Zea mays: one gene and its partners. Each later gene encodes a partner of the first gene's protein in a complex. Links are inferred from orthologs where the notes say so. Each region holds a gene or a part of one and is shown on either strand. Other genes may lie near its edges. The genes, in order: Protein TIC110, chloroplastic; Protein TIC 55, chloroplastic-like; Protein TIC 20-v, chloroplastic; tic22.

The links.
Region 2: Protein TIC110, chloroplastic (region 1) and Protein TIC 55, chloroplastic-like share a complex: the UniProt entries of both Arabidopsis thaliana proteins name them as parts of the tic complex. The link is inferred for Zea mays from reciprocal best matches to the Arabidopsis thaliana genes TIC110 and TIC55-II.
Region 3: Protein TIC110, chloroplastic (region 1) and Protein TIC 20-v, chloroplastic share a complex: the UniProt entries of both Arabidopsis thaliana proteins name them as parts of the tic complex. The link is inferred for Zea mays from reciprocal best matches to the Arabidopsis thaliana genes TIC110 and Tic20-V.
Region 4: Protein TIC110, chloroplastic (region 1) and tic22 share a complex: the UniProt entries of both Arabidopsis thaliana proteins name them as parts of the tic complex. The link is inferred for Zea mays from reciprocal best matches to the Arabidopsis thaliana genes TIC110 and Tic22-IV.

Annotation. Positions count from the first base shown.
Region 1 is NC_050096.1:234,058,306-234,066,502, forward strand, and holds the start of Protein TIC110, chloroplastic, read left to right. Parts: upstream 1-2,993; 5' UTR 2,994-3,102; coding exon 3,103-3,617; intron 3,618-4,138; coding exon 4,139-4,198; intron 4,199-6,134; coding exon 6,135-6,258; intron 6,259-6,369; coding exon 6,370-6,438; intron 6,439-6,522; coding exon 6,523-6,621; intron 6,622-6,900; coding exon 6,901-6,967; intron 6,968-7,175; coding exon 7,176-7,240; intron 7,241-7,471; coding exon 7,472-7,560; intron 7,561-8,197. UniProt on the Arabidopsis thaliana protein: Involved in protein precursor import into chloroplasts. Forms a voltage-dependent cation-selective channel at the inner envelope of chloroplasts, which specifically responds to a transit peptide.
Region 2 is NC_050100.1:221,689,046-221,697,036, forward strand, and holds Protein TIC 55, chloroplastic-like, read left to right. Parts: upstream 1-3,609; 5' UTR 3,610-3,610; coding exon 3,611-4,005; intron 4,006-4,115; coding exon 4,116-4,218; intron 4,219-4,311; coding exon 4,312-5,430; 3' UTR 5,431-5,553; downstream 5,554-7,991. Other genes in the region: uncharacterized protein LOC100191588 precursor, read right to left, coding at 5,927-6,219, 6,311-6,548, 6,835-7,009, 7,100-7,211, 7,650-7,889, 7,991-7,991. UniProt on the Arabidopsis thaliana protein: Involved in protein precursor import into chloroplasts. Part of the redox regulon consisting of TIC32, TIC 55 and TIC62.
Region 3 is NC_050100.1:212,572,528-212,579,645, forward strand, and holds Protein TIC 20-v, chloroplastic, read left to right. Parts: upstream 1-2,666; 5' UTR 2,667-2,796; coding exon 2,797-3,441; 3' UTR 3,442-3,833; downstream 3,834-7,118. Other genes in the region: solute carrier family 35 member F2, read left to right, coding at 284-338, 441-523, 1,299-1,364, 1,625-1,630; uncharacterized protein LOC100279738, read right to left, coding at 3,897-3,974, 4,097-4,223, 4,305-4,440, 4,541-4,718, 4,840-4,878, 5,014-5,106, 5,950-6,019, 6,289-6,403 and 2 more. UniProt on the Arabidopsis thaliana protein: May be involved in protein precursor import into chloroplasts. Not redundant with TIC20-I, TIC20-II or TIC20-IV.
Region 4 is NC_050104.1:9,247,331-9,255,422, reverse strand, and holds the start of tic22, read right to left. Parts: upstream 5,033-8,092; 5' UTR 4,879-5,032; coding exon 4,477-4,878; intron 4,391-4,476; coding exon 4,328-4,390; intron 3,075-4,327; coding exon 3,000-3,074; intron 1,885-2,999; coding exon 1,840-1,884; intron 731-1,839; coding exon 671-730; intron 593-670; coding exon 521-592; intron 444-520; coding exon 408-443; intron 318-407; coding exon 228-317; 3' UTR 1-227. UniProt on the Arabidopsis thaliana protein: Involved in protein precursor import into chloroplasts. Imported into the intermembrane space via the Toc translocon. May be involved in the import pathway used by proteins without a cleavable N-terminal pre-sequence.

The DNA of each region.
Region 1 (8,197 bases):
ATGCTTACCAAGCCTCACCCTCAGTTCATTCCAAGAGTTCATGCTTATAATATGTTGTATACTACCCTCATGTTCTTTCAACCTCTCATTAATATGCCTCCAATCTCTGAACCCCTCATGACCCAATGAACTCTTGCAGTTTTCTGTATTGAAAAGCTTGCATGAAAAACAAAACACTCTATCAACGTGTTTAGAATATACCAACCACTTTCTATAATAAACTTCTCCATTGCTCATCTTTCTAGAGTAATGAGTATATGAAAAATGTCTGCCATTGGTATCCAAAGGAAATTCAATATTTTCATCTCTGATGGGTCCCTTCTCTACTAATATGTCCCTCGACTTGTTATCAAGATTATCCCAATTTCTTGGATCATAGATATCTTCAGTAAAAACAGGTTGTTCATCAACACTAGCATTTTCTGTAGGAGGTGAATTAACCATAGGCTCATGATCACTCACATTGTTATCATTCCTATCGGTGTCAATATTTTCTTCTGGTGTAAAGCCCTGATCTTCTGGGTTATTATCAGGTTGCTCCTCTATAGCAACTACAGCCATCTCATTTTGATTCCTTGAAGTTCTTGAATTACTAGGAAAAAATTTGTCCATAGCTCCTCTCTGTGTTTCTATGAACTCATCTGCTCGTTTCTTCCTCTTTCTTTTCTCAGAACCGGATGGATACTTTCTAGATGACATGACTATATGCTGAAATTAAAAAAATAAAATTATGAATTAAAGCTATTGATTAGTTACAATAATAAACTTAAAGAATTATTACTGATTATGGAGTACTTAGTACAGAAATTTCGACAAGTGTCTGGCTTACATCGAACGAAGAGCAAGAGCTGATAATAAAATATGGCTGCTGGGTCGGCGTTCCTTTTCCCTTTTGCCGAATTGCCGTTTCTCTCTTCTCTCTGCTGCTGGGTCGGCAGTCGCCGTTTCTTGGGGTTTGGGCGCCGTCACTGCGCGTCTGCGCCGCGAGCCCGCGAGGCCGCGATGGTGCGGGGCTGCGGGAGGAGACGAGGAGTCCAGGAGGACGTGGGTCGCGGCTGCCGGCGATAGCCCTGAGGCGATGAACGGAGGCAGAGGCAAGTTAATGAAGCGAACGCCGGAACGCGATCTGCTCTGCTTCTGGGCTTCCTGGCGGCGTTTCTGTTTCTGCTTCCTATCTTTTTCCGTGATCCGCTCCTTCCTCCTTTCCGTGATCTGCTACTTGCCGATTTGTTTCCATATCCTAGTTATATAGTCTCAGGGGTGGGGCCCATCATCGCGGGGGGCCCGGGGCGACCGCCCCGCGCGCCTCCCCTCAGGGCCGTCGCTGCCTTCACCGGCACCTACACTAATGGATCAGCATTTACTAATAAGCTGTTTGATTTGAGTAATGAGCTAGTTCATTATATTTTCACTCCTCACTTTTTTGTTTGGTTTGTGGAATGGATTGAGTTGATCCACCATCACCTTATTCCTTATAATTATTTAATTAGTACTAATATAAGGAATAAAATCATCCTACCAAATTTGAGAAATGAATCCATAATGCACCACCACATTTTGGATGGAGTAATTCCTCAAACCAAACACCCCCTAAGTTTCCAGAGCGCTGCCGCTGACAAGGACCTCCATGTCCTCCGATGGCAGCCCTGGCGGCGAAGATTCAGATTCACTGGTGGAGCAATACCCTTGCAGCGCCCCCCTATGCAGCCTTTGAACATGCTGGTATGAATCTAATGCTTAGTTACTCTAGTCCCTAACTATACTGTATCTATCATATATTCATGGAGTGTTGTAGTCATTGCTACGATTCTTACCATGAAACTGGGAACACAATAACATGAGAATACGATGATAATCAGGTCTAGATTTTTTAAAAAAAAGAGGTAGTCAGTCCAAAATCAATGTGTGTCTTCCTAGAATAACCGATGGCTTGACTAAAAAATTATCATTAACACTTGTAGATTACTGATGCTTTCTATTCAGTAACTTGCAGTTAACACAATAAGCGATGCTTGTTTTTGTTGAGCACAAATGGAATACTAAACCTCATTCGTCAAGCACGAAATATGATTGTGTTTGGAAGATAATATTGTGTTCAGGTATTCAGAATAACATAAGCTGATCACATGATGAGTTCCGAGGCAACTCAATCAACTCTAATGTACTGGGGAACTGTTGTGAGATGATACCATTTTGAGGGGAAAACAATTTTAGGAAAACCCTTAATACATAGTTTTAGGGGAGATTTTTTAAAGACTTTGGAGTTGCTCAAGCTATATCTAGCAGCTTATCTATCTCATTTTCTATTTCACTCACTATTTTAAACTCTACTATATAAATAATACAATCTATAGTGCAAAAACATGTCTATTCATGCTTGGCTAGAGATAGCCTTAGTGTGGACTGCGGTGCATGCGTCTGCGTCCGTGGTGAGAATTATTACTTATTGGGCTTTATTGGCCGACTGTCGAAGGATGACCTAGGACGTGAGATAAGTTCAGAAGGAGAAGCGACCTGCCTTTGTTTTGGTTTAGTAAGGACAAATGGACAATCACATGCTGATCTCCGCGATCTGGTAAACGAACACAAGAGATATTTATTTTTGTTAAATTTGTTAAAGATAAAGAAACGCACAGCAACCATTATTATTATTATTATGATCCGAAATCACGGTATATTATTATATATATAGTAGTAGAACAACAGATTTTAATTTTAAGGCATTGAGTTCCGTGAGTACGGCCATGTTCCCAGTCGTGGCGCGCGACCGCAGCCAGGCCAGGAGCCAGCAAAGCGAGCAGTCGACCATGTACCACGGAACGAGAGGAGAAAACGTCTGAAATAGGCGAGGGATCACGGCCGCGCCCGCGCAAGCGGCAAGGCAAACCCTTGTGTTGGTCCAGCCGCCCCTCGCCCCGCCGCACCAATCCCCCACCCCATCCCAACGCTATCCGCTGCCCTCGCCGCGCCCCCCTCCTCTTCCACCTCGTCCGCCACCCTCCCCAATCCATCACATCCCACCCTACCCCACCGGCCCTGCCGCCGCCGAGGAGGAGGTGTCCCCACCCCCGTCCGCAGAGGCAGCAGGGATCTCTACCGGGCATGGAGCTGGCGCTCGCCTCCGCGAAGCCCTCGCCTCGGGCGGCGGGGGCCTTCCCGCCACTTATCTTCTCGCCGCTTAAACCATTCCCGCTCCTCCGCTTCCCGCCGCGGAGGACCGCAGCGGCGGCGCTGCGGCTCCGGCTCCGGCTCCGCGCGGCTGCCGCTGACGCGGGCGAGACTTCCCCTGGCGAGGAGGTGTTCGGCGCGCGGCGGGAGCTAACGGGCATCCAGCCGCTGGTGGAGGCGCTGCCGCCCGCAGCGCGGACGGCGGCGGAACTGGCCGTCGCCGCGGCAGCCGTGGCGGCGGGATACGGCATCGGGCTCCGCGCGGGTGGCGGGTCGCGCGCCGTGGCGGTGGCGGGGGCGGCAGTGCTCTGCGCGGCCAGCGTGGCGGGAGCAGCTGCGGTGAACTCCGTGGTCCCAGAGGTCGCCGCCGTGGGGCTGCACAATTACGTCGCGGGCCACGACGACCCCACCAACCTGGACAACGGCGAGGTGGAGGCAATCGCGAAGAAGTGAGTAGCTCTCGTGTCTTGTTGCAGCATTGAGTTTATTGGTGAAATGGTTCGAGCTACTGCTGTGTTGCCTCCTGGTAGTCTTGTTGCAGCATTGACGTTATTCTTATATTTGGTAGTGAGCTACCTGGATCCAATGAAGTGCCCCTTAGTTGAGGTTTTTATTTTGCTCATGAACTAAATATTAGTACTTGCAGACATAATATAGTACTGTGATTAGCTCAGCCTTTTATTGTGATACGCACTTGTCTCCCCACTCCATTTCCAATAATTCTTGCACGCTTGTTTATTTGGTTCCCCCATAGTCCCATTGATTGTTGGAATGCAAGTAAATTTTGGTTTAGCTAGTTACATGTATGTTAAAAGAAGTTATATACAATTTCCATATTTGTAAGTTTTTTTTTGGTTTCTTGGGAATCTAAATTGCATAATCAGTTCCCGTTATCTCTTTTGGAGGCTAATTATTGATGTTGCTGTTGCTCCTCTTCATATATTCTTATAATGTGCAATTTTAATTTTAGATATGGAGTTAGCACACAGGATGACGCCTTCAAAGCAGAGCTCTGTGACTTGTATGCCAGGTGTGCTTCTCGGTGCTCTTGTTTTTTCCCCAGCTGGCACATGTGCTTGTGTGCATTAAGTTTTCTTAAATTCTTAAGGTGTCACCTCACCTCACGCTTTAGTCGCTTATAAGCGTAAGGTGGTAGTAAATCTCAATCGCCCCGCTTCGTCCTACCAACTTGATAACCATGGGCATAACTAGTGTTGTGCTACTCACTACTCACTACCTGTTGCCCCCTGCATACTACACTAGTTGGAGGCACGAAGGTTTCTGCAAACAATTGCAGGAAAAAGGAATAACCATAATCCTCTAGATGTAATCATACTATTGACTATATATTAAGAAGCAATTGGTCTCTGTTTTTTTAATCTATATTAAGGGACCCAGGCAAGCAAATAAATTATTGCTATTAGGCGCAGTCAGCCGGCCACTCAGTTTATTTGGTGTTTTGGGTTTGTATATTTGGTGAGCAAAATTTCAGTTTTCTGAATAGAAAACCCAGAGTTTTTGCCTCAAACCAGAACATACACTTTGTTGTTCGGTGTCTTCTTGTGTTTACTGAAGAAACGGCATGGTAACCAGGGACAGATCGCAAGGGGTAGGAACAGTGGCTAGTTTGGCGGACTTCATCACCACGGCTGGCAGCTTGCCGAGCCACGATGACCGAGGTAGTCCTGCCGAACTCCAGGGAGACTTCATTCCTCGATGATCTCCTAATACAAACTAGGGTCTGCCTTTATAGTATGAGGCAGCCACAAAAATAGGAACTGAATAACTTATTTTGGAAGTAAACTAATGCATATCTCCCTAGAATAAAACTTTCCAACTAACTCGATTTCTAGCCACGTTGTTGGTCACTTTCCTGTTTTCCGCCTGCTGCCCCTTGATTACTTTCCTGTCTTGCGCCTGCTACTTCTTGGGCTGGATCCTGGCGCCGACGCTTTTGATATTGGCAGCCCACAAAAGCGTCAGTAACAGCTTGTCATTGTCAGTGCACTACAATGTTATCAAGTCATCTAGTTGATCTTAGTCGCCATGGGACCAACCAGGTGACTAGTTGGTCCTAGTCGTCCTATATATATCAGGACTAAACTAATATACCAAATATGTACTGATGTACTATATGTCTGGAGTATAAATCAAGCAGGAAGATAACTCTAGGGTGGTGGCTGCATGTAGGCCTGCAAATTGGGTTAAACAATACGGGCCTTAGTGAATTATGCTATCCCAGTTGCAGCCTATGTCCTAAGCTGTTTGGCAATTCCATTATGTTTCTGGTCATCCACCTCTTAGTCAGATGACTAATCGGATGACAAGAAAACTACTTGACCTAAATGAGTCGTAGCCCCTAGTCAAGTCCAGGATACTGATTGGGATGACTAATCGGATGGGTTGATAACACTGGTGCACTAGCTGAGGCTAGCATACCAGTGAGTGGTGGTTGTCAAGTCATGCGCTCGTCACGGCCACCTGCATGTCCATGTGCCATCATGCCCATGTTGTGGCAGCTAGCTTTCTTGTTTGCCTGGGTCAGTTAGGGGAAGGAGCGGGGAGGGATAAGTGGATAGTAACACAATGTGGGGTCAGCTGGTCCGGTTAGGGAACAAACTGTTGTTCTCTGTACAGGGCAATTCACATGCCTAGTGAGCTACCTACTAACGAACCATCAATCCAACATATTCCTCATAAATTGCCTTCTGTGGCCAGAGCTAATATGCACAACACAAGCAAATACCAAGCTTGTTTGGTGGTGTTGGTTGTGGAATTTGTATTTGTGCATTTGGGTGGTGTCTCCAACTTTTAATGACAGCCTTTCAGTTTCGTGGATGGATGTCAACAATCTTGCCTGGGTACAACTGAACTCATGTATACAATACTCATGTAGTCATGTATTAGCATCTAGATCAGATGGGCAGTTATTTGGTCATCCTTTTCCTGACCATGCTTTTATGCAGGTATCTTTACTCAGTACTTCCTCCAGGAGATGAAGATCTCAAAGGTACAGAGGTTCAGGCAATTATAAAATTTAAAAGTGCTCTTGGGCTTGATGATGTAGATGCTGCTAACATGCACATGGAGGTATTGCCTCCCGATCTATCTCCTATGCTCTTATTGTTTTCGTCTTTGTTTCCCACATTCTCTATGTTTTATGCCAATAAGGTACATTTTCCTCTTTGATTGTTGTACTAGATTGGTAGACGCATATACAGAGAGAGGTTGGAAACGAGTGATCGTGATGCTGACATGGAACAAAGACGGGCAAGTGTCTATGCTTTGATATATGAATGAGATGTTTGGAACTTCCTGTTGGCCCATGTTATAACCATGTCGAATTTTTTGCAGGCATTTCAGAAGTTAATTTATGTGTCCAATCTTGTCTTTGGAGATGCATCTGTATTCCTACTTCCTTGGAAACGTCTGTTTGGGGTGACTGATTCTCAGGTAATTAATTATAAAAATGCTTGTTAATTTTTTGCATGCCTTCTCTCAGTTTTATGCTTTGATCTCACAGAGTTATTTGTTCTGTATTTTGAAGTTCAGTTCGTTTTTTCTGGCAACGTTGCTCTTTGCATAGTTGTTATGCTGCTTTTGATGCAGTTGATATTTCGAAGAGTTTGGACAAATGTTCATCAAGTGTTAATGCCACTACTCACAGTCCAAATAAGAATGTCTTTCTTTACTTACCATGGTATTAAGTATCATTTGACATTATGTTTCTAGATTGACATTGCTATGAGGGAAAATGCCAAGAATTTATACTCGGTGCAGCTCAAGTCTATTGGAAGAGGTAATGCTAGAACACAGTTTTGTTTAGGTGTTAGTTCAATTATAAAGTCATAGTGTCATATTATTCATAAGTTTTGCTTTATCAAGTAAATCATATAGTGTGCTGTAAAGACAGCAATATCAATTTTGTTGTTGTTATATTTATTGTTTGATATATCTCTTATTGCATCTCAAGAACATTCTGAAATCACAAAATGCTCTCGGTTTAGGTCTTGACATAGGCACACTCATTGAAGTAAGGAGAGCACAACTTGCATATAAACTTTCTGATGAGGTAACTCTTTTCTCAACTCTGTTGCTGCTTATTTGTTTTTTCTTCATTTGGGATGAAATCTACATCAGTACTTATAGAACAATGTCATTTTATATCCATGCTATGATGCATATACACTAGCTGAGAGTTTAGACAAAAATAAAAGGTCAATTATCATTGGTGCTTGGAAAAGATAATAGAGTCAATGTAAGCATGTTTTTGTTTTTAAGTGACATTCTAAATTTCTTGCAGATTGCTGCTGAGATGTTCCGTGAGCACGCGAAGCAGCTAGTTCAAGAAAACATTTCATCAGCATTAGACATCTTGAAGTCACGTATTCCGTATGGAACCTACTTACCCTTTGAGAAGCATGCTACCAGATTTAATTATTAGATGTTGTGCATAGAAACCTGAGTGATGTTCTAAGCTAGATAGCCTGTGGTTCGAAGGAAATAACATAGCCAGTTTTCTAAATCCGGATATATTGGCTTGCAATTTTGTAGATATTTCGTTATATAATGGAGAAAAATATATCTTATAAGTAGCAATGGGTAATAATCCATCTTTTACCCATGTTTAAAACACGAGACGATCCATCATTCATCTATGTGCCAACCTTTCTCACACATGGCCCTGCCATATTACGTTCGCAGCATTGTCTTGTCTATCATAAGCAACACCATAACATTATCAAATCTGAATTTTAGGTCTGCTCATATAAACTATCAGGTAGATATGCCGTCAATAAAATGGATGAGTATTTTTGGTTTATACACATGCTTTTACTAGTAGAGGAGTATTTGTTTTCATTTGTAGCAGTCAAGGAACTTGTGCATTTCTTATGAATCATGAGAAGACCATGAAGATGCATACAAATTTGCTTGACTTCTGACCAGTAATAATTAGCGAAAGAAAGAAAATCCAGAATGGCGGAGCTTGGCAGCAAGTTCAGCAGGGGCCAGACTAATAAATCAGCTA
Region 2 (7,991 bases), on another chromosome or scaffold:
TCCTGTTTAAAATCAACTCATTTTTTACGAAATCATTTTTTTAGCTAGAAAAGACTAGTTTTTTTGTTTTCAAAAACCATGAATCCAATTTTTATAAACTGGGACATAAACTGATATGTTTAAAACTATCTCGGTTTCCATAAACCAATTTCTTAAAAGGTGGTTCCAAACAGGTCCTTACTTAGGTTTGGTCGTTCGGACATGAGAATTAACAAACAATAAAAGTATATAGTGTACGGAAAATGAGAAAACAAGAAGAAGAGAGAGAGAGATACATGCGTAAAGAAAGAAAATCATACTAAAATAAAATACATATGCTAAAAAACTAGCTAACTAATAATTGATAGGTAATTGTTAATTAATTTAGAACTGATTTAGTGATCAGTGAAATTAAGGGGATCCATGAGCCCCTATAGATTCTTTTTGTTTCTCTGGTCACCAAACCAGCCCCTTAGTGTTTTAGGATACAATATCTAGATGTGCCATTGATGTTCTTGACTAATACTCTCTGTTTAACTCGCTAATGGTAGGACACATGGATATATAAAGATAAGTGGAATAATAAAAGTATTTTTCGCAATACATTAGTTGATTCGATATAGAGAGGGAACACTAGTGCACTACTCGCTTTGTCCAAATTTATAGGTCCCTTTGGCTTTTCTTTGCTTATTTTATTGGTCGTTTGGCTTTTTACGATACATATATTTCTATTTTGTAGCTCAGTATATCGTATATCTAGGTATATAACAACAACTATGTACCTAGTGAGTTGTAGACGTCGTACGACACCACAGATAAAAATTATGGGCAGAGCGAGGGGCGTAGGGTAGAGCCACACCGATTTTAGGTGCATCCTGATTAGTAGCACATTGACATTGTATAAAGGTTCAGGTCGCAAGATACGTAATGTGAACGCTCTCTTTAACTTTAGTAGCTCAATGAACATAGAGGTGAATAAGATTACAAAATTAGATATCAAATAAGTCTCATAACCTCTTAACTCTTCTCATTGGTTTTGGTGAGAATTCTAGGCTAATGGTCTCTAGTTTACCTCTATGTCTCTATGCGTGCCCTCTAGCACCTTTGAATGAGTCATAGCTGTTCTAACTGAATTGAACCCGAATGAATCAACCGGATCATTCCATCTCCCTTCCATGTTTCTATACTCCTCCATTTATATGCCTACTGGGTTATGACCTAGTTCAATACAGGTCAACAACAATTATCTCATCGTAGTCATGGAGTACTAAATGGTTGCATGCCTTGATCGTGCCACGATGCTGAGGATGTCATATTGCGGTTATAGATAAGTCGTATCATAGAGGTAGTTATGACTTGTCATAGCGATGGGTATCAGAGTCCATGTTGTTGGGTATGATGTAGTTGGTAACAGATGTAGCAGTCTATATTTTTTAATGCTTGCTGGTACACTAACATATGGAGACATGTCTACAAGAATGATGGCATATATCAAATAGTGGTCTTAAGTATGCCCGATGTCTACGTCATGTACCGAATAGTGGTCTTGAGTATGTCTAGTGTCTATCTCGTGGGAATAGTGCGCATACTTTACTACAATATCAACCAACACATTTAATGTGGTGAACGAGATACCTTTCCAAACCATTAGTAACACAAGTCGTTTGGAGTAGACTTTAACATAGTACGAGTGTTATACCTTTGAGGACTTCCCTACTCTAAGGATAGGCTGCCATATTCTTTGTTCTGTAGGTGCTCCCATACAACTGAGTCGGAGCATTATTTTTCATATGAAGGACCCTAGGACCTGGCTATTAGTCATAACTCTAAGGTCGAGGTCATGAAATATTTAGGGAGGCCTCTATGGGGCCTAGGTGAGCGAGAGAACTCTAGAAGCTTGGGAATGCCTCAAAGTATAGAAAGATCCTGAGGCCTTAGGGGCCCTGGTCATGCCAATTATGATGGACGGGAGTGGCTAGGACAACCTCACGGGTTCAGGGGCTCAAGATGAGGTCCATTAGGGTGGGTCTCTAGGGGCACATGTCTGGAGTTAGTCAGGCTCTCGATTACTTTTATCGAGATCCTTAGAAGGCATCTTCATCTAGAGTGTGACCTTCCCCATGCGCTAATAGAGGTCCCCAAGTCAACCATAGACCTATGAGGCTTGCTGGTGGGCCCAAATTTCTCGTAATACACTTGAGAAAAGAAGACTTATTATCTGTTAGAGAACTACTACATAGTTCAATGATGGCAAGCACCCAATACCTGGTGCACTAAGTGTCGTCATGGTACAACATTACAGTACCATAAGCAACCAAAAGACACGAAGAAAGTTTATGGACAGAGCAAGGAGCATAATCTATAGGCGCATTGATCCTAGGTGTAGCACATAGTCATTTTATAAAGGGCTAGGCCACAAGATGATACCATATGTCCTCTTTAAGTACGATGGTTTGACGAACACATAGGTGAAGAAGAATACAAGCTCAGATATCAACTAAGCGTCATGATCTTCTAGCTCTCCCTTACTATTCGGTTCTCATGAGTTCTAGGCTAGTGGTCCCTAGTTCACCTCTATGTATGACCTCCAACAACGTGCTCTAATTTTTGCCATCTAAAAGAATATTCTCTATCCTTTAGAACACACTCTAGAAAATTTCATCCTCTATATCTTTATCATCTCCAACAACATCCTCTAAATTTCATTCTCTGCAACATTGTCTTTCTTCTCCGACACCCCACCTCCACCGTTGTACTCCATCCATCCACCCAGTATCTCCCATGCCCCTAGATGCGGGTTGAGAAGCACTCCACACGGAGCGCCGTGTCCAGGATCACCTATCTCATCTCCGGCAACACAGAGGATGGACTTGTGCTGCGCCGAGGTGGGGGAGAAGCATAGCAACAAACAAGGGAGGAGTGCGAAGAGAGAAAGATCGAGTTACAGGTCCTATGCGCCTACGTCATCCAAGGTCGTGTTTGTTGCACATCCGGTCGCCGTGCGCCTCGTCGTCCTCTTCTACCGTGGATGCAAGTTGGGAGGTGCTGGCTGATGTGCTACTTTGTCGCGGCGTGCACAGCCGACCTGTAGTCTCTCTACACAAGACGGTGCACATAGCCGACACAACGGAACACTCTACATCTGTTGTGCGCGTTAGTGGTCCGCTACTTTAGCGGGTCCTTTAGCGGACCTTGAGAACGAAAAGCAGATTGCGCACGTTAAATTTAGCGTACAGGAGCATTTACAGAGTCTTGCTCTCGAGAGTCTTGTACGTTTAAATTGACAAGCTAATTTTACGCAAATAAATAACAATTTGGATAGATCCAAACGAGATATTATTATAGCTGACCAGTGTAAGCTAGTTCATGCACACGCAAAAAAATCTCGCGATATACTAGTCCGTCAATCGGTCACACTTGGACGAGAGTGACACACGAGAGATCACGGCAAGTGTGGGAGTCTGGAACCGGGACGCTATAGTAGTAGACTAGGTGGCAGAAAGCTGGAGCCGCCATCTGCCGTGTGCGTTGCACACTTGCGCTCGTAGTCGTAGGTGACTCGTAAGGTTTTTATCCGGTGAGGCCGCAGAGATCGAGCGCTCTCGGCCAACCAAACGTCGTGGGACCGAACATGACAACGCCCTCTACCGCACCAGCGCCACTGGCATCTCTCCTCCGCGTCTCCGCTGCCGCTGTTCCAGTGGCTCGACGACGTCCTAAGAGCCCCGCGGCTGCGGCGGCGGCACGGTGGGAGGGAGGTGGGGGCAGAAGGAGGTGCCGGGCGGCGGTGGTGGAGGAAGCCGGGGTGCTGCTGCCCAAGGAGGGGGAGGGGGAGGGGGAGGGGGAGGAGGCCCCGGACGCGGCGGCGGGGCGCTACGACTGGAGGGAGGAGTGGTACCCGCTGTACCTGGCCAAGGAGGTGCCCGACGACGCGGCGCTCCCGCTCACCGTCTTCGACCGCCAGCTCGTGCTCTGGCGCGACGCCCACGGCGTGCTCCGCTGCCACGAGGACCGGTGCCCTCACAGGTGAGATCCTCCGGCCGGTCCACTCTTGTGTGCGTGCAACGATTGGTTTGGTCGAGAACCAGCAGCTGAAACACGATTAATTGCTCCCAAAATGCTTACCGATCGATCAGGTTAGCGAAGCTATCGGAAGGGCAGATCGTGGACGGCAAGCTGGAGTGCCTCTACCATGGCTGGCAGTTCGACGGCGACGGCAAGTGCGTCAAGATACCACAGGTCTCTCTCTCTCCCACCTTTCTTACTGACGCCCCTACCCTACGCGGCGAGAGCATGGATGGGTGATGTGATGGGTCCGTGCCTGCACTGCAGCTGCCCGAGGGCGCCAAGATCCCGCGCAGCGCGTGCGCGCGCAACTACGAGGTGCGCGACTCGCAGGGCGTGGTGTGGGTGTGGATGTCGGACGCCAACCCTCCCGACGAAGGGAAGCTGCCGTGGTTCGAGCCGTACGCGCGGGCGGGGTTCACGGACCTGTCGACGGTGCACGAGCTCCCCTACGACCACTCCATCCTGCTGGAGAACCTCATGGACCCCGCGCACGTGCCCATCTCCCACGACCGCACCGACTGGACGGCCAAGCGCGAGGACGCGCAGCCGCTCTTCTTCGACGTCACCGAGCGCACGCCCCGCGGCTTCGCGGGCTACTGGGGCCGCACCGGCACGCCGCACCTCCGCAACCTTCTGCGCTTCGAGGCCCCCTGCGTGCTCACCAACACGCTAGAGTTCGCCGACAAGGACGGCAGGGAGCAGTGCTTCTCCGCGCACTTCCTCTGCCGCCCCGCCGGGCAGGGCAAGTCCATGCTCCTCGTGCGCTTCGGCTCCACCCTCAGGTCGCCGCTCGCCAAGGTGCTCCCGTCCTGGTACTTCCACCAGAACGCGTGCAAGGTGTTCGAGCAGGACATGGGGTTCCTGTCGTCGCAGAACGAGGTGCTGCTCCGGGAGAAGCTGCCCACCAGGGAGCTCTACCTCAACCTCCGCTCCTCCGACACCTGGGTCGCCGAGTACAGGAAGTGGATGGACAGGGCGGGCCACGGCATGCCCTACTACTTCGGCCACAGCACCCTGTCGCCGCCGCCCGTGCCGGCCGTCGTGGAGCAGGCGCCCGCAGGGGCCGTCGCGGGGATCTCGGCCTCGTTCCCGGCCAAGGGCGGCGTCGGCATGGTGCACGCGCCCAACCCGACCAACAGGTACTTCCGCCACGTCGTGCACTGCAAGGGTTGCAGGGCAACCGTCAAAAAGTACACCTCGTTGAAGACCGTGTTCGCGGCCCTCGCGGCGGCGGCCCTATCGGCCGCCATCCTGGCGGCGACGAGACAGTGGAAGGCCGTCTTGGTGGCGGCGTCGGCCGTGCTAGCCGCCGCATCCTATGCGTGTGACGCGGTGCTTTCTTTGATCACCACCAACTTCATCAGGACACACAGGAGACTGTAATTAATGTGGTACTGGCCACTGTATATTTAGGTAATGGCCGGCGGGGAACGTTCTGTACATTTGTATCACCGTAGCTGCTGGCCTGCGGCTGTTGTATTTTGTATATTTGCAGTAACGTTTTGCATGTCAGCAGCAACTGATTAGGTTGGTTACCTTACCGGTTAGTTTTTTTACTACTGCAGCACAAACTCAGAATTAGAAGATAATCAACATAGCAAAAGATTTAAGTCCGCAGACACAGCCACCAAGCAATCGATACACAACACGCTCGCACGAAGCATTCTTAAAATTCTCCAGTATATACACAATACAAGCAGCACACGTTCACTGTTAAGATAGTGGCACAATGCCTAAAGTCACATGTTATTAAGTAGACAAACTTGATAACAGTGGGCAAACACCGACTCGGAGCATGTTTTAAAGGCAACATACTTGATAGGATATATTAGCTACCACAGTAGACACGTTTGATGCTCCAGGCTTACCGTGGTTGAACTTAGAATTCCCTGTCGGGAAAGAGGACGGGTGCAACAAGCGACCATATGAACAGACCTGCCGTCGCCCACTGGGTTGCAATCCTGACCCAGACAGATGGCCACCCAACATCCACAAGCTTTCCGCTCTCACCAACCGAAGTTGACCAGCCAGTCAAGAGCATTGCCGAGTACATGCTGGCCAGGGAGAAGATGAGGTGAAAGAAAGAGTAGGAGTATGTCACCGGCCTCGGCACATCCTTCTTATCTTCTTGTTCGTCTGCCTTGCTGAAGGGAAGCAATGGCTTGTCGGTCCCTGGAAGGTAAAAGGGAAAAAGGTATCATAATTAACGATGCAAACCCAATATTTGCAAAACTAGCTCATTAGCCACAGAACGCAATCTAACCACGTGGTGAGTCTGGTGGCGAGAGCACAGTTGCAGAGGAGCCAGCGCGGACAGCAGAATAGACCACAGAGAGGACCGTGGTAAGGAGTCCCAATGTAAGGCTACCAGTTGACACAGCTTTTGAGTGATTGTGAAGCCCATTGCATTCGTAATCCCTTGGCTCACTGGAGAGTCCACTGTAGCACAGATATGTACAGTACATACCAATAACTGATGCAGGCAACAAGCTTCCATTGATCTGAAAATCAGAAACTTCAAAGTTCAGCATTATTTAGCACAAAAAAGATAGTTACATTCAAGGGAAATGTATAGACATAGTTTTTGGAAAGCATGGTCATACGATGGCCAAGATGGAATCTAAAACAATCAAACCAACCCAATAATCTAGAGTTGCAAGTATAATACTGCCCCAAACCCCAAACCCATCCAGTATAACTTATCAAGCAACGGTTTCTGGTCAAATCAAGTAATATAAACAAATGCAAAATCAGTAAAACGGAGAAAAACAGGCTACATGATGGTACCTTTGGGTGCAGGGCAACAATAGCAAACGCAAAAACAAGAATCAACGTGAAGACAATGAAAAACAGGTTGAGTCCGCAGTCATGTCCAGATGGAGTGAACCAGTGAAATAGGAGACCCGAGAAACAGAACGTGGCAATGTAACAGACAACCGAGACAACCAACAGAGCCATGTACCTGCAGCGACAAAAGAGCATAAATAATACAAAAAAAAACACCAATGGGAGCCCAAGCAAGTATAGGAAATAGCATCAGCAAGCAACCAACCAGAACTGCTCATCCTTGGCGACCCAGTTCTCATTCCATCCGTGCACAAAATCCAACAGCAGAACAACCTGAACGAGAAGGAACAGCCCAGAGCCAAACTTGGATATAGATTCTGCAGAAGTAGAATTGTAGTAAGAATTCCAAACACAGCTGACACACAAATGACGGGATACATAACAAAGTACATGAATGACCAACAACAGCAAAGCAGTAACTAATTACTAAATGTTCAGGGAACTCGACAAATGTAGTAAGTCTACAAGTAAAAACAGCTGACTACCAATTGGGTTTATCCATTGCACACGCCCAGTAAGTCTACAAGTCGAGAATTGCATAAATTCTGAATCAGAAATCTCCTTAATTTTCTTATGAGCCTCACGGAACTCAAAAAAAACTTCATGAAAGGGGTTGTTTGTTTCTCAAAAAAGATTAGTGCCATCATGATATGTCAAGTATCTATCAACTATGCGTTCAAATAAAAAGGTTTCTATTTGTGATCGCAATATGAATCAAATGGTCTGACAAATAGAAGGAAAGGGAGTTAGCTCACCATAGAAGCTGACGACCCCGTTGGGCACGAAGAACATGAGGAAGACGATGATGACCCAGCAGAAGATCTTGGCCATCCATCCGCCGTGGTGGATCTTGTCACGGGGGTCCTTCTGGTCCTTTATCCCGGCCATGATGACGGCGAGGATGGTGAAGAAGAGGAAGTTGCCGAGGCTGACCCTGAGCACCGCGTCGGTCTCGAACCACTCGCGGTCGGGGGTCTTGTGGAAGTGGTTAATCCCTGCGGAAACAGAGAGAGAGGTCTCGATGAATGTTTCGATGAACTGAACCGACGAATCGAACCGAGGGAAAGTAGGGGGGATTCGGGTCAGCGCCGCGCACA
Region 3 (7,118 bases), on another chromosome or scaffold:
CAAGGACACCGTCAGCAGTGATGAATATCGAGGTCCCCGCGTCGCTGGGGTGACATCCGTAGTGACAACTCTACCATCTAGATTTCGCTATGAGCTCTAGCTTTTCCACAAATTTCTGCTCCACTTGACAACTTAAGCTGGAGCAACCTTCACGTGGAGCGGAGGAGATGTTTGGCTAGAAGGATACCCTTAGCTCAAAAAAATTGTCATTATTGCCCCTAATATAGGTTCCAGATGTCATCCCCTATGTCTGTGTCTCCTTCTTCACGCACATGCTTGCTAGGACAGGAAGGGGATGCCGGTTTTTCCAGAGCATCCAACAATAAAGGTGTATGAAGGTATTCTAGTGTGATTGGTGATCGGGGGGAGGGGGATGACTTCCCATGGCTTGGACGTCGTTAGGTTGTCGATGTTGTGCACTCCTATATATGTTGTGCCAGAAGGAGGAAGCAATCAGACACTTGAAGATAATGTGGTCGTAATCTTCATCTGCCTGACAGAGCCAAGGTCACACACGACGCTGGTAATCATCCCTTTCTTGACAAGGTTCTTTTTGTGGTTAACCTTTCCTTATATGAGGATCCACACAAAGAACTTAAACTTTAGGAGAGAAAGAGCTTCACACGAAGTCTGGATTATCAAAGTTGGAGGTAGTCATTGATTGATCAGCTTGTAGAGCATACCGGTTTTTAGGATCCCTTCTATGTCAATCAGTGGGCTTAGTCTTTTATCATTTTGTTGTGTGAGAGAGATGTCGTGGAGGGTGTTCTGGAGGGTGGCAAGCTCCTGTCTTTGAGGTTGTGCTCAGGCGTGGTTTGAGGTGCTGATCCAAGCCCATCAAGCAGCACTTGCCTGACAGTGGTTTCCATATTCGTTGCATGGCTTGCAAGGGAGGGGAAGCTGTCTGTGATCGGACCACTATCCATCTAATCATCAAGGCGGAAGCAAGTTGTCCTACCATTCCCGATGCTCTCTCATAGTGGTGATCACGCGGGAGGAGTTTCTGCATGCTATCCTAGTTTGCTCTTGACAGAGGGAGGCCAAAGTAAGTTTGGGGGAAGCCTTCCAACTTGGCACCGCACTGCAGGATCGAGGTGAATTGACCGGCTTGATGTTGTGGGTCAACATGAATGGGAACAAGGGTGCTCTCATCGTAGTTGATGCAAAGACCTGTTGCTTGGGCAAAAGTGTCAAGGATCATCCGGAGCTAGGTGACACTAGAGAGGGAAGCATATGTGGCAATGAGTGTATCATATTTGCATATTGGATTACCGGCCCCCGGTTTTGTCATTTGACAGTGGGTGGCGGACTTCCCCGTTTTTCTTGATGAGAACCTGAAGGACATCTTCCACTGGCAGGAACTGGTAAGGTGAGTGGTGAGATCGGGTCGCTCTGCCTCAGGCCTTTCTTGCATGGGAACCATGGGTCGAGGCAAGTAGGCAACCGTGGAGGAGATTTCCAGAGCTTGAGGTGGAGAGGATCTCGGCGATCCAGGATCTCCATCGGTCAGGGAAGCCTCTCTCTGCCATGGTCCTTCAGAGAGCTTCCCAATTCACGGTGTCGAAGCCTTGGCAAAGTATAATTTGATCACTAGGACTGGTGTGGTGTTTTCCTTTTGTGGCAGGTCTGAACAAGTTCAAAAGTGTAGATGAAGCTCTCTGTGATCGATCTGCCTCGAATGAACCCGATTTGGTCAGTGTCGATGATCCTGTCAATCTGTCGTTGTAACCTGGTGGTGAGTATCTTGCTGAGTATTTTGACGCCGCAGTTATGCAAAGAAATAGGGTGGAAGTTTGACGGCGGTTTGATTTGCTGTCCAACTTACCATATTTTATCTATTTTTTATGTCTAAGCTTAGTTCTTCGATTCAAATAATTAACATTAAACAAATTATGACATAGTTAACCGTTTTATCTATTTTTTATGTCTAAGCTTAGTTCTTCAATTCAAACGATTAATATTAAATAAATTGTGACATAGTTAGCCGTGAACCAAATAGACTGAGTGTCCTTTTTTATGAGGAAAATGTAGGAGTGGTTATTCCGCCCGGGTCAGCTCTCCCGGAGTGGAAATCGTTTTGAGAGGCATCACTACTTTGCTATTATGAAACATGCCGCATATGCTATAATATCATTTGATTGTTTAAAAAATGAAAATAATAAATATATTATAGACATTGAGGGATGATTTGCCTCTGTTGTTGTTCGTGCATTCACTTTGGTCGCTGATGTTCGTCTCCCTATAAAATTGACCCTCAATGTCGCTATATATATAATATATATATTTCTTTTCCGATTTATTAAACGATCAAATGATATCATAACGTGGATGACATGTTTTATAATGATATTCAGACGAATCCTCTCAAAACGATGAATCCCAATTTTTTCCGTGGCGGGCCACAGCGGGCCACGCTGCAAGGCGCGAGCGCATGCCGGCCGGCATGGCGGCCCACGTGAGGCTCACCGCGCGTCGCCCACGCGCCCGTCCTTCCTCCCCCGCGACGCCGCAGCAGCACGGCCCGCACTGGCACTGCACCAAGCAGGCAGGCAGGCAGAAGCAGGCACCACCAACCAATCTCCTCGTCTCCCACTCGGCTACCCACATCCCCCGGAGCTCCACAAAAATCTCCGCTCCCAGGCTCCCACCCGCGCGGAGGGGGCAAGCAGCCAGCAGCCGCGCGGCGCCACTGCCTTGCCCTCAACCCCTCACCCAAACGCCTCGCTTTGGCCGCCCCCCACAAGGCCACTCACCCAAAAAATCTCCACTCCTCGACCGCACCGAGCAGAGGATCACATGGCATCCGCCGTTTCGCTTCTCCTCTCGCCCCCGCGCCTGCTCCACCGCGACGGCACATCCCGCCTCCTCAGCATCCCGCACCGGCGGGTCCTCCTCGCCGCCCCCAACAACGCGACCCCTCGTCGGCTCCTGGCCCCCGCGCCGCGCGCCTCCAACAAAAACGACAACAGCGGGGCCGTGGAGGCGCCCGACCGCCTCGTGGCCGCGGTCGCCTACCTATACCCGTTCCTCGACGGCGCGCACCACGGGCGCTTCCTTCTCACGCAGTTCCCCTTCTTCGGCGCGCTGCTCCGCCCGCTGGCCCCCGCGGCTCGGCTCTTCCACTCATCGCCGCTCACGCCCTTCCTCCTCTTCCTCACGCTCTACTTCGCCGTTGTGCGGAACCAGCAGGCGTTCTCCCGCTTCGTCCGCTTCAACGCGATGCAGGCCGTCGTGCTCGACGTGCTGCTCATCTTTCCCGACCTGCTCGCGCAGTCGTTCGCGCCCTCCGGTGGGGTTGGGTTCGAGATCTTCCAGAGCATGGAGAGCACGGTCTTCCTCTTCCTGCTCGTCTCCTTGGTGTACGGCGGTGGCGCCTGCCTGCTCGGGAAGACACCACGTCTGCCCATTGTCGCAGATGCAGCGGAGCGCCAGGTGATGTGACTACAATTCGTTTCCTGCGGACCATGTTGATGGAAAGGGAATCTGATGATATGCAGAAAACATCCCAATGGTTCGTTGGCGCTTGCAGCAAATCACAAGCTTAGTATAATTTACAATTGCCTTGCTGTTTATATAGGTCTAGTTGCCGATTGAATGCATGTACTGTGGAAGGTTGATACAAAAACGTTGCAATACTACCATATTTGTTGAATTGACAAATTTTGAGAGAGCAGTACATGTACACTGTTTTACAATCTGAATTGCATTTACAAATGAGGAGGAATGTCTGAATTGGGGAGCTTTATGACTACCCTCCCCTGAGCAGCTTCCTTTGTACCTGAATGGAGGCTTAGGTCAGTAATTGTGATTTCAATATAAATAAGAGCATTCCATCAATTGTCAATTTCGTCGACAAAGTCCTGGTCTGTTGTCGGCTTGTCGCCACAGTTTGAATTTCAGTTTGAGCTGGAGATCTTGCTTCTCTCGCCCCGAAGCTTCTTGGTCACATGTATAATATCTTCACATTCATGATCCTGTCAGGTAAGGTTAAAAAGAAGTGGTAAAGAAATGGCTGATTCTGTGAATAAGCCATGACATAAGTCTAGCAACTTTGCAAGCATTAACGTGCTGATATACTTTCATGTGCTGTTATTACCTTCAAATTGTCATGTATATTATTAGGTTCTGTTGCTCTTCTGTCCATACTGATCTCTACAGATATACTAGCTTGAGATGGGTCTACTCCCGACCTTTTTAGAGCTTGTGTCAATCTATTTAGAAGCCTGATGTAAATAATGTTTTCTCTTGTTAGTTGCAGATATAGCAAAATTACCATCATAAACAACAGTAGTTTCGGAACAAACCCTTGAGAGTAAGCATCAGAAAGACTTTGAGTATCCTCTTGGAGAGTTTGTTTCTCGTTCTTGCTCAGTGTTTTGTTGTCTGCATCAGAGGTTGACATGCTCAACCATGGTGGCTGTTTGCCAGGTACGCTGTTGTCTGCATTTTAAAGCTATTAGCCTTAGTAAATCAATTTCTTGCCATGATCTTAGCAATTGAAAGGTGGTAATGCAACGAAAGAAGGAAATTGGGAACTTACCTGCCCTGCATTTTGCTTTGCTTGTTGCCTTTTGGGAGGAAATATCGTTTGCACTAGTTTCTCTAGCACTTTGTGTGTCAAAGAGAGCAGACGATGCCACCGTAGTTTGCTTGGAATCATACTGTTCTTTGTTCTCATCTTTCGTGGAAGGTGCTAATCCTCCTCCTTGGATGATATTCTGCGAGACCATGAAAAAGAACAAAGAAATTTGTTATCATTGATATATCATGGGCTCCATGCTTCCATGTGGCATTCCTTTTTTCTTTGGTATGTGTGTGTGCACGCGCGTGTGGAATTACCTCTGTGTTTTTCCAGCATGATCTGTAGTAAACTTTTGCCTAGCAAGGGGAAAAAATAGTGGACAAGTGAGTTAAAATCCAAATGCAGCCCTTTTTTTTGTGTTATATAGTAAAATATGTGCATGATTATTGTGCAGTACTGCGATGAACGTGATAACGTGGCTATGTTAGTACCCATGGCATGGAGGAGTCCTCGTGATTCTTTTCTGGTTGGGCTGACTCGTACTTTTGGACCTTCTCTTGCAAGAACCTTATGTATTCAATAACCTGCGAGCAAAATGTTCCACATGCTAAAATACTTGCTGTAACGTGCTGATCAGGATTCCGGTCTCCCCAGTTGCTGAGATCATGTTACATTGAAATATTTTTTAGTATTATATTTTCGTTCTGGTTCGTGTTATGTGTTTGCGTATCATTGAACAAGCAACATGGAGGATATTGCACCCAAAACTGGGACCAAAGGGGGCATTTCAATGTTATAAGAGCATCTCAAGAGGAGCCCTAAATAAGAAATTGTATTTTAAAATATAGGGCTCAAAAAATCATAAAACAAAAAAAACTTGACCTGCGGCATCGAAGCCCATGTGAGAACGACCACGACCGGGGCTGAGCCTTAGACCTGTGCTTTGTCGTGGGACAGACGAGTGGATTTTTTTAACCACAGCCTAAAATTCGCTCCCACGGGGAGTCGAACCTAGGACCTGAGGAGTGCTACTCAGACCACCTAACCAACTCAGCTAGAGGCTCTTTCGCAAAAAAAAAATCATAAAACATTTAGTCCTATTTTATAAAAAATCATCAAACGATTATAGAGTTCGGTCTCTCGGACCCTAAATATAGTACCCCATATGTTAGAACCCTAACCTTCTTTCCTCTTAATCTACAACTATTTATTTTCTAATAACGTGATTTATTTTCTAAATAGCATTATTTAAAGCCTAACTGTTGGAGTAAAATGTTTTATTGAGGTCCTAAACATTTTAAATATGATTATATTTTTAACTTTTAGAGCTTTATTTTAGACCTTGTTGGAGATGCTCTAAGTGCAGCATTATGAGATCTCTGGTTACCGGCGGCTGGCTGTTGTAGAAAGGTTGGCGATCTATTTACCTCAAGAAGGAAAGATGCCTTGTCCCTCTTCTGGTCACCGTGCGGCAGGAGTTCCCGAAGTATTTCCAACCTAAACCAGAGGCATATACACACATACTCGTTAAAATGCATCTCCCATATATATCGCATCTCATGTATCTATCTGCTGCTGTTCGGCAACAGAAGTAGAATTCAAGATTTGCGTGTTGATGACAAGTTCATGCCGTGATGTAATTCCAACATGTTGAGCAGACAGCTGGCTCACTCAGCTTCCCTACGTTCTGGGTAAATCTTTTTTTTTAGTTTCTGATCTGCTAGATGCAATTGATGAAAATTGAAATTGGACTCAACGAGCATTGCCTGTCGTTTATCTTTGTCCGTCTCCGCTGCTCGGTAGCGGAATGCTTGGATCTCGGTGTGCTGGGCCCCTGATCGGCGCTGCTGCCGCTGCTTCTCCCCTCCCCTCCTCTCGCGCCTGAACATGCAGCAGGGCAGTGTAATAAAAGAGGGTCCTGAATTCTGGAACCGACCCGAGAGAAGAAAAAACGACAGCGTATGTATATATAAATTTTCACCTCTGGATCTTTGGTCGACGCCAGAATCTTGCCACATCGCGAGCGGGCCGCTGTGAGCCCTGGCTCCCGATTCTGCTCCATGCGGCGGGCCCTCCTCCGTTCTGGACACATGAACGGCAGGTGGAAAGGCGCCGCTGACGACGCCATGGCCGGCGGCTTCTCCCCTCGATCGAGTCGCAGATGCCACCTGCCTGATGCTGAACGTCCCGACGCCGCCCGGCAAGACGTGCTCCTCGGAGTCCGACTCCAAGCCCGACGACGGTGCCATGTCGATCGCTCCGCCGCCGCCGCCGCCGCGCCGCCGCCTGTCCAGTTTCATGGGCTTCAGCGAACTGTGCGCCCCCGATTCGTATCCTGCGACCGCAACCAAATGGCCTGGGTTGTTACGCTGTACTATGTAAGTCGCGAGGCCCTACCTAGTAGCTAGCCTAGGTTCTCCGAGTGGGGGGGACGCAGGTCGCATTTCCGGCCGAATTATGAACCGAGAGGGCTCGCATACCTTGGGCGGGATGCTGCTGCTGCACGGGCGACGACGGGCCTCCTCCGGTGTGGAGCGAGAGGAAATCGTGGGCCGGCTTCTCTCCTGCGGATCGCGGGCACGTCACAAATCCAGCG
Region 4 (8,092 bases), on another chromosome or scaffold:
AAATCTTCTTGTGTAACCTGTGTTAATTTTGTGAATCGAAGCAACAAGAAAATTGTTTCACAGCCATATTCTATCACTTTAGTTAATTTTCCCTGACAAAGCTGACCATGAAAATAGCTATCCAAAGGAAAAGCTCAGGCAGCAATTTGATATTTCGTTTGGCTGACCATCATAGCATTTAAAGTGAATAGTCTGTTCAAACTCTGAGCTATCACCGTGGAACAAAATCATGCTGATACCTCATTGATATGTTGGTTGAGGCTCTTCCCAGGGGGTATAAAGATCAAATCATCCCAGCCAGAATCTCTTTCATTTATCTGCAGAATCAAATAGCATAATGGTAAGAGCTGCTGAACTAGTAAAACTGTACAAGCAATATCCATTCTGCCATTTTATATCCATCCTACCTCCATTTTCTTCAGGACATCCTCCAAACTTCCAACCTGGAAGATAGACACAGAAGAGTTAAATTAGTTTCATTAGAGATTTGCATGAGCTATAACTGAACATAACTACATACCATAATTTTCTTAGATAAGGCTGACCCTCTTGAACCTTTGGAAGCCCTTGTAAGTTCTCTTTCTATGTCTTCCTGAACAACGAGGTAAGTGGTAAGAACCTAATCAAGGTCTAAGAAACACTACATGATATAAAATGCAGCCTGGCAAACCTTTTGAAAATATACTGGACAGTAGCGCTTCTTCTGCTTCTTCACAACCAGCAGATCTGACTGCACAGCACTTGGAACATTTTCATTGCAGCAATAAATGATTCAAAGTACCAATGAGGAACATGAACCCCCAAAATAACACAAGTCTAGTGTACAAACATTAGAATAGTATATAACTAAATGGAACTGCACAACAAACTCAAAAGTTAAGTGTGGAGTGGAGCATCTACCAGAAAAAGATAGACACCATTCTGCTGAAGCTGAAGCTGGAGTGTACAATGTATGAAACTCTAATCAGCTTGGCAATTACTTTATCTACACTAATGCAACAAGTGCAGTTTGATTCATTGTGGTTTGTATGAATTTTCACTTTATCTTGGTAGTTTTTTGCGGTGTGGTCACTTTTTTATGCCGGAAACCACATACAGTTTATATTAATGAAGAAAAAGGGTTATGATGTCGCCTTCCTTAAAAGCTCCAGACGATAGAAAATAAAATGAACTCCAAAAAAGGGGGAAACAGTGGATTTTGGTTGGGGACAGCACAGCATGACTATTTGACTACACAGCTTCACAAGATGAGACTTTAATAGTGAGAACAGAATGGACATTCCCCTTCTTCTTAATATAAAGATGCGCAGCTCTCCTGCGTTTTTCGAAAAAAAAAGAGAACAGAATGGACATACAATTAATTTTCACAATAAAAATAGGGATGGGCAAGTAAATCTAAACAGCTTCAATTTTTTCATACCTTTTCTTCTAGAGCCTATCCATAATATATTAGATTTGGAAATAGCTAAATGCATTAGTGATTCTTAGATCCAAGGCATCAATCAACAATTTGCCGGTTGTCCTAAATTTTACCAAAAGAGGAATTACTGGTATTTGCTTAATCAAGAAAACCTTATACTAATTGATAGGATGTGTCTCCATATACAAAGGTATGGAGGTAGCGCCTAAGGTTACACTTAATTTGTGGTACAGATGAAGGGTTTCCTTGTGGCCATCCTAGTGAATTAATACATGCGAGTATTTGACTGAGTTTAGCATGCATAACAAGAACTACTCATCGCATCAAATTGACACGCACATGACTCACAAGAAACTAAAATTGAATGTCAATATGGAAAGTAAAATATATTATTAGAGTGGCCAAATCAGGGACATTACCTGAAAAACAGGAACACCATCAAAAGCAGTTAAGCCCGATTTCATCTGGAAAATAAAAAGGGTAATACATGTCACAAGGATGAAGAAACCTTTTTTCTTCGTACTTGAAGAATAATCAAGGGGGTTGTAATGATCTACATATTCTATATGCAAGACTTAGCTTGTTCTACAGACAACAGTATGTGTTACCTAAACTTAACTAAAGACAAAAGTATGTGTTACTTAAACTTTAGATTTACAAATGTGCACTGTGGAGAATCATTGCAGGTCATTAGGCCAACAAGTCCATCCAGGAAAAAGAACAGAAAGATTCACCACCTACCACTATGGTAAGAACTAACACTTCACATGTTCTATGTCCACATGTCTAGGATTCACGCATTATGGTGAAGGACTGAAGGCATACAAAAAACCAGCAGACACGCTGATAGCGTAGTAGTTGAGAAACCAAAGGGGCGGAGCTCTCAACCAGGGTTCAATCCCTCGTGCTGCATGGTTGTGTGCCCACTTCCCTGGTTGAAACAATGTAGTTCCACGGCTGCCAAATAAGCGTGCGCACATGAGGTATTGAGGTTCCTGCCTGTTCCCAGGTTCGGTGGGCCTCTTTTTAAGACTGAAGTCAAGGGGACGTCTCTCCCCTTGATCAACTCTTTTTTTACATACAATAAGCCACAAATGTACAGACCTTGTGACCAAATTATTGGGATTGCTCAAAGTAACAAAAATCTCTTCAAACATATGTTTTCTTTGAAATGTTGGAACATGTTAAACCAATAGCTATGGGTATGCATTTTGCCAAGTCAAACAATTTATGTAGAGTTTCTGCATGCACTAGAGGAATATTGCTAATACACTAGTAATTAAATGATTGGCCACCGTCAAACCATTGCAAGCCAATGATATCCAAGAAGGTCAATATTATGGCATTTAACTACATGATATGGAGAAATGGACACACATGTTTCATCCCTGTATTTGTAATAAAATAACAAGTAATTATTAAAAAAATCATTGCATTGCTGCTTTCAAGAGCATTTGCAGTCTGACTGATGCATCTCAATTATGCTCACATCATAGAGAGAGGAGGGAGTAGAATATAAATAGGTCCATGTACAAGATAATAGAGCAAAGAGCGGGAAAAAAACTATTAAAGAGCAGACCTCCAGTGCATTCTTTATTTGAAGAGGGTCGGGTAAGAACCTAAATGCGATACCTTCAGCCTTTAACATATAGACCTACATAGAAGAGCAAAGTTATGAGGTATATATGTTTGCATTATAAAACATATAATAGAGTCAAGGTTATTAAAATGGTAAAACGTTGGAACGCTCATGGGTGAATTTTTGACTTTTAAACGTTTAAACTTTGTTTAAACGTAGTTTTAAACAACACAGGAAAAATACCAATACATCATAATTTCAGCAATAATATGAAGTTAAATACTAAAATAGAGAGGTTAGTGGCTTACCAAAACTTCACCCATGAGCTGGATTGAACCTCAAAAGTAACTAATAGAATGAGCCCAAAAATAGCTAATGGTCTAAAATGCATAAAGCACTGCGTTTTACAGTTTAGAACGCCAAAACGCTAAAACGTGGTTTCAATCTCTAATTAGAGTTTTGACGTTTAAACGTAGTTTTTATAACACTGAATAGAGTATCAGTCAGGTTCAAGATAAACACAATGTCTATGCATGCACTAAACAACCAAAGCTGCAGTGGCGTCAACCAAGCTTAATGCATCATGAAAGCATGAACAAGATAAGCTAATAAGCAGTGTTATTAAAACTACGTTTAAACGATGTTTGAACTACGTTTAAACGTCAAAACTCTAATTAGAGGTTGAAACCACGTTTTAGCGTTTTGACGTTCTAAACTGTAAAACGCAGTGTTTTATGCATTTTAGACCATTAGCTACTTTTGGGCCCAGTCTATTAGTTACTTTTGAGGTTCAATCCAGCTCATGGGTGAAGTTTTGGTAAGCCACTAATCTCTATATTTTGGTATTTAACTGCATATTATTGTCTGAAATTATGATGTATTGGTATTTTTCCTGTGTTGTTTAAAACTACGTTTAAACAAAGTTTAAACGTTTAAAAGACAAAATTTGACCCATGAGCGTTCCAACGTTTTACCGTTTTAATAACCTTGCTAATAAGTAATTGGCTACCTAAATCATGACAGCGTACACAATTCCTGGCCAATAAGCCTGATAGAACTAGTTTGAAAAGACTCTTTTCGCTGTGCAATTTAGTTAAAAGTCTTACCTCTCACCTTGCTAATAAGTTAAGATACCTAATTACTGGACTGGCTTTCGTACTTCAAAACGAAACATAAAAACCTTACAGAACCCACAATTCAAAGAAAAAAAATGTTCATCAAGTATTGACATGATCAATGACAAGACATACAGAATCAAACCAACCTGATCAAGTGTAAATACAGAATGAAACCAACCTGATCAAGTGTAAATACAGAATGAAACCAACCTGATCAAGTGTAATAGGCACCACTTTTGCCCCCTTGCCTAGCACCGGTTGCCGCGTCCTCACCTAAACCACACAAACCTCCCGAACAATTAGTGAAAAATCCAAAACCGGAGCCCAAAGCAAACAGGTGGCGAGAGAGCGGGGAATACATGCGACAGGAGGGCGTCGGCGTCCTCCGAACGGAAGCAGAGGAGGCCGAGGGAGCGGAGGCCGGTGGCAGGGTCGGAGACAAGCACGAACTCGTTGCTGGAGTTGCAGACAGTGAAGACGGGAGTGCCGGTAAGAGCGCGCGCGACCTCATCGGGCGCGAGAGAGAGAGATAGGGAGGCGCCCTGGGGGCCCGGCGTGCGCGCAGCCGCGGCAGCGAGGGCGGGGCGCGGGACGTTCAGGTGGGAAGCCAAACGGGAGAGGTGGTGCTGTAGGAAGGAGGCGGTGGCTACGAGCGGGTTTGGAAGCGGCGACGCAGCGAAGGGGAAGGGGGTCGGTTCGGACATGGGCGCAGCGGCGAGGGGAAGGGAGGAGCACGTGGAGATGGAGTCCGGTGGCGCCATCGCGTGGGTTGCGGCGGCGGTGGTGGCGTGGCGTGCGAGGCTCCTTATTGGTCGGCGGCGTCGACGAGAACGGCCTGGCGCGGGGGCGATTCGGTTGAGCCCAACCCCAAGTGCAGAGTTGCGGATTGCGGCCCGCTGAAGCTGATATTCAACTGACGTGTATTGGAGTGATTACGAGAGTATCTAAACAATTTGTTGACGCCTTTTCGGAGCGTCAAACACCTAATAAGAACCGTGGCGGTGCTCTCTAGTCAGGCGCGGACGGTCTGCGGCCTGGGACCGGACGGTTCGTGACCTGGCGCAGGGCTAGGGTCTTCTGCCTGACGGCCGGACGGTCCGCGCCCTGGGGGCGGACGATCCGCGCGTACGCAGGGGCGGCGGAAGTCGCCGGCAGCGACCTGGATCTCGCTCCCGGGAGGGACCCCGTCGGGGAGGAGAGATCCTAGGTGATGTCTAGGCTCGGCAGGCCGACCTAGACTCTTCTAATCAGCGTAGAGTCGAAGAGAAGCGGGAATTTAGAGATCGAGAGGCTAAACCTAAACTAGACTAGAACTACTCTTAGGATAAAATGCGAAATAGAAGTGTTTGATTCGATTGATGATGATTACAAATCGGCCGTATATCTCTCTTTTTATAGAGGGGGGCTGGACCCTTTACACGACTAGATTCCGAGCTAATTCCGCGGATCTAGCTAACAAACATAGCACAAAACTCGGAACCCTAATCTACTCTGCGCATGCGCGGACCGTCCGGCCCACAAGCGCGGACTGTGCGGACCGCGGACTGTCCGGCCTCAGGGCCGGACCGTCCGCGTGCTCATTTTGGTGCCAAACATATGCCCTCCTGCCTTTTGGTGGAGCTAGGCAAACCAAAAGCACCTTAGTCCGATGTGATCACATCGGTTTTCTTAAGCATCTTGCCACATACTAGGATGGTACTGCTTGAGGAAACGCCCATTCAAAGCTTTGGGTAAATCCTTGCCTTGCAATGTTTGTAGTAAATAGGTGTTACCAGATATTACCTGTTTTACTTTATAAGGACCTTCCCAGCTTGGCGACCATTTTCCAAACTTCCGGTCTTTATTCCTTAGAGGCAGGATGGTCTTCCACACCAGGTCCCCTACTTAAAATGACTTTGCTTTGACCTTCTTGTTGTAGGCCCTGGCTACCATGATCTTATCCTTTTCTATTGCTCCCAAAGCTATCACCCTCTTGTCGGTCACCTCATCAATATTATCCATCATTGAATTGTAATAATCAGTGATGGTTAGATCATTTTGTCTGGCGAACCTGACAGCATTCAAACTTATTTCCACAGGCAACACTGCTTCCTGCCCATAGACAAGCTCAAAAGGAGACACTTTAGTAGCACTATGTTTAGATATCATGTGAGCCCATAAAGCTTCGGACAAAATCTTATGTCAATGCTTAGGATTATCCAATATCTTCTTTTTTATCAAGTTAATCAATGTCCTATTACTAGACTCGGCCTGTCCATTGGCCTGAGCATAATATGGAGATGAATTAAGCAATTTAATTCTATATAATTCAGCAAACTCACGTACCTTCTTTGACATAAAAGAAGTCCCTTGATCTGTAGTCAAGGTCTGGGGAATGCCGAATCTATGAATAATATGTTCAGTTATGAACTCAATTACCTCCTTGTGCGTCATGTTCTTCAGAGCAACGGCTTCAGTCCATTTGGTGAAATAATCAGTGGCAACTAACACGAACCGATGCCCCTTTGATGATGAAGGATGAATTTCCCCAATAAAGTCTAATCCCCATCCTCTGAAAGGCCAAGGCTTGATGATAGGATGCAATTCGGCTGCAGGGACCAACTGTAGGTCGCCGAATTTTTGACACACTTGGCAACCCTTGTAGTACTTGAAACAATCAGCTATCATATTAGGCCAATAAAAACCAGACCTTCGCAACAGCCACTTCATCTTTGGAGCCGATTGATGGGTACCACAAATTTCTTCATGTACTTCGGCCATGGCTAATATAGCATCATTTGGGCCCAAGCACTTAAGCAGGACGTCGTTGACTGTTCGGCGGTAGAGTTCATCACTCATCAAAACATACTTGAAAGTTGTACGCCGAATGTTCTTATCTGTCCTAACGTTGGGATTTCGTAAATAATTAGTTATGGGCGTCCTCCAATCTCCTGCATCGGCTTCATTATCAGCCGAATCGATTAGGAGAACTTCCCTGGTAACCCCGGACGGTCCGGCGTCATCATGCGGACGGTCCGCGACCTGGGGATTTGGCTCTGCACTGGTTATCAGATTTTCAGTATTGTGAAATTTCCCTCTCTTTATCCGATAACCTGATGCATCTTGTGCCAAATTGTTAGCTCTATGATTCTCAACTCTAGAGATATGCCGAATACTGAATTCGTCAAAAGAATGGATTATGCTCCAACATTTTTCAAGGTAACTGATAGTCGCCTAGAGGGGGGGTGAATAGGGCAAAACTGAAATTTACAAAATTAATCACAACTAAAAGCCGGGTTAGCGTTAGAAATAATAACGAGTCCGAGAGAGAGGGCGCAAAACAAATCGCAAGCAAATGAAGAGTGTGACACGCGGATTTGTTTTACCGAGGTTCGGTTCTCGCAAACCTACTCCCCGTTGAGGAGGCCACAAAGGCCGGGTCTCTTTCAACCCTTCCCTCTCTCAAACGGTCCCTCGGACCGAGTGAGCTTCTCTTCTCAAATCAAAACCGGGAACAAAACTTCCCCGCAAGGGCCACCACACAATTGGTGCCTCTTGCCTTGATTACAATGGAGTTTTGATCACAAGAACAAGTGAGAAAGAAAAGAAGCAATCCAAGCGCAAGAGCTCAAAAGAACACGGCAAATCTCTCTCGCTAATCACTAAAGCCTCGTGTGGAATTGGAGAGGATTTGATCTCTTTGGTGTGTCTAGAATTGAATGCCTAGCTCTTGTAAGTGGTTGAGAAGTGGAAAACTTGGATGCAATGAATGGTGGGTGGTTGGGGGTATTTATAGCCCCAACCACCAAACTAGCCGTTTGGTGGGGCTGTCTGTCGCATGGTGCACCGGACAGTCCGGTGCACACCGGACATGTCCGGTGCGCCAGCCACGTCACCAAAACCGTTGGGTTCCGACCGTTGGAGTTCTGACTGCTGGGCCCGCCTGGATGTCCGGTGGCACACCGGACATGTACTGTAGAGTGTCCGGTGCGCCAG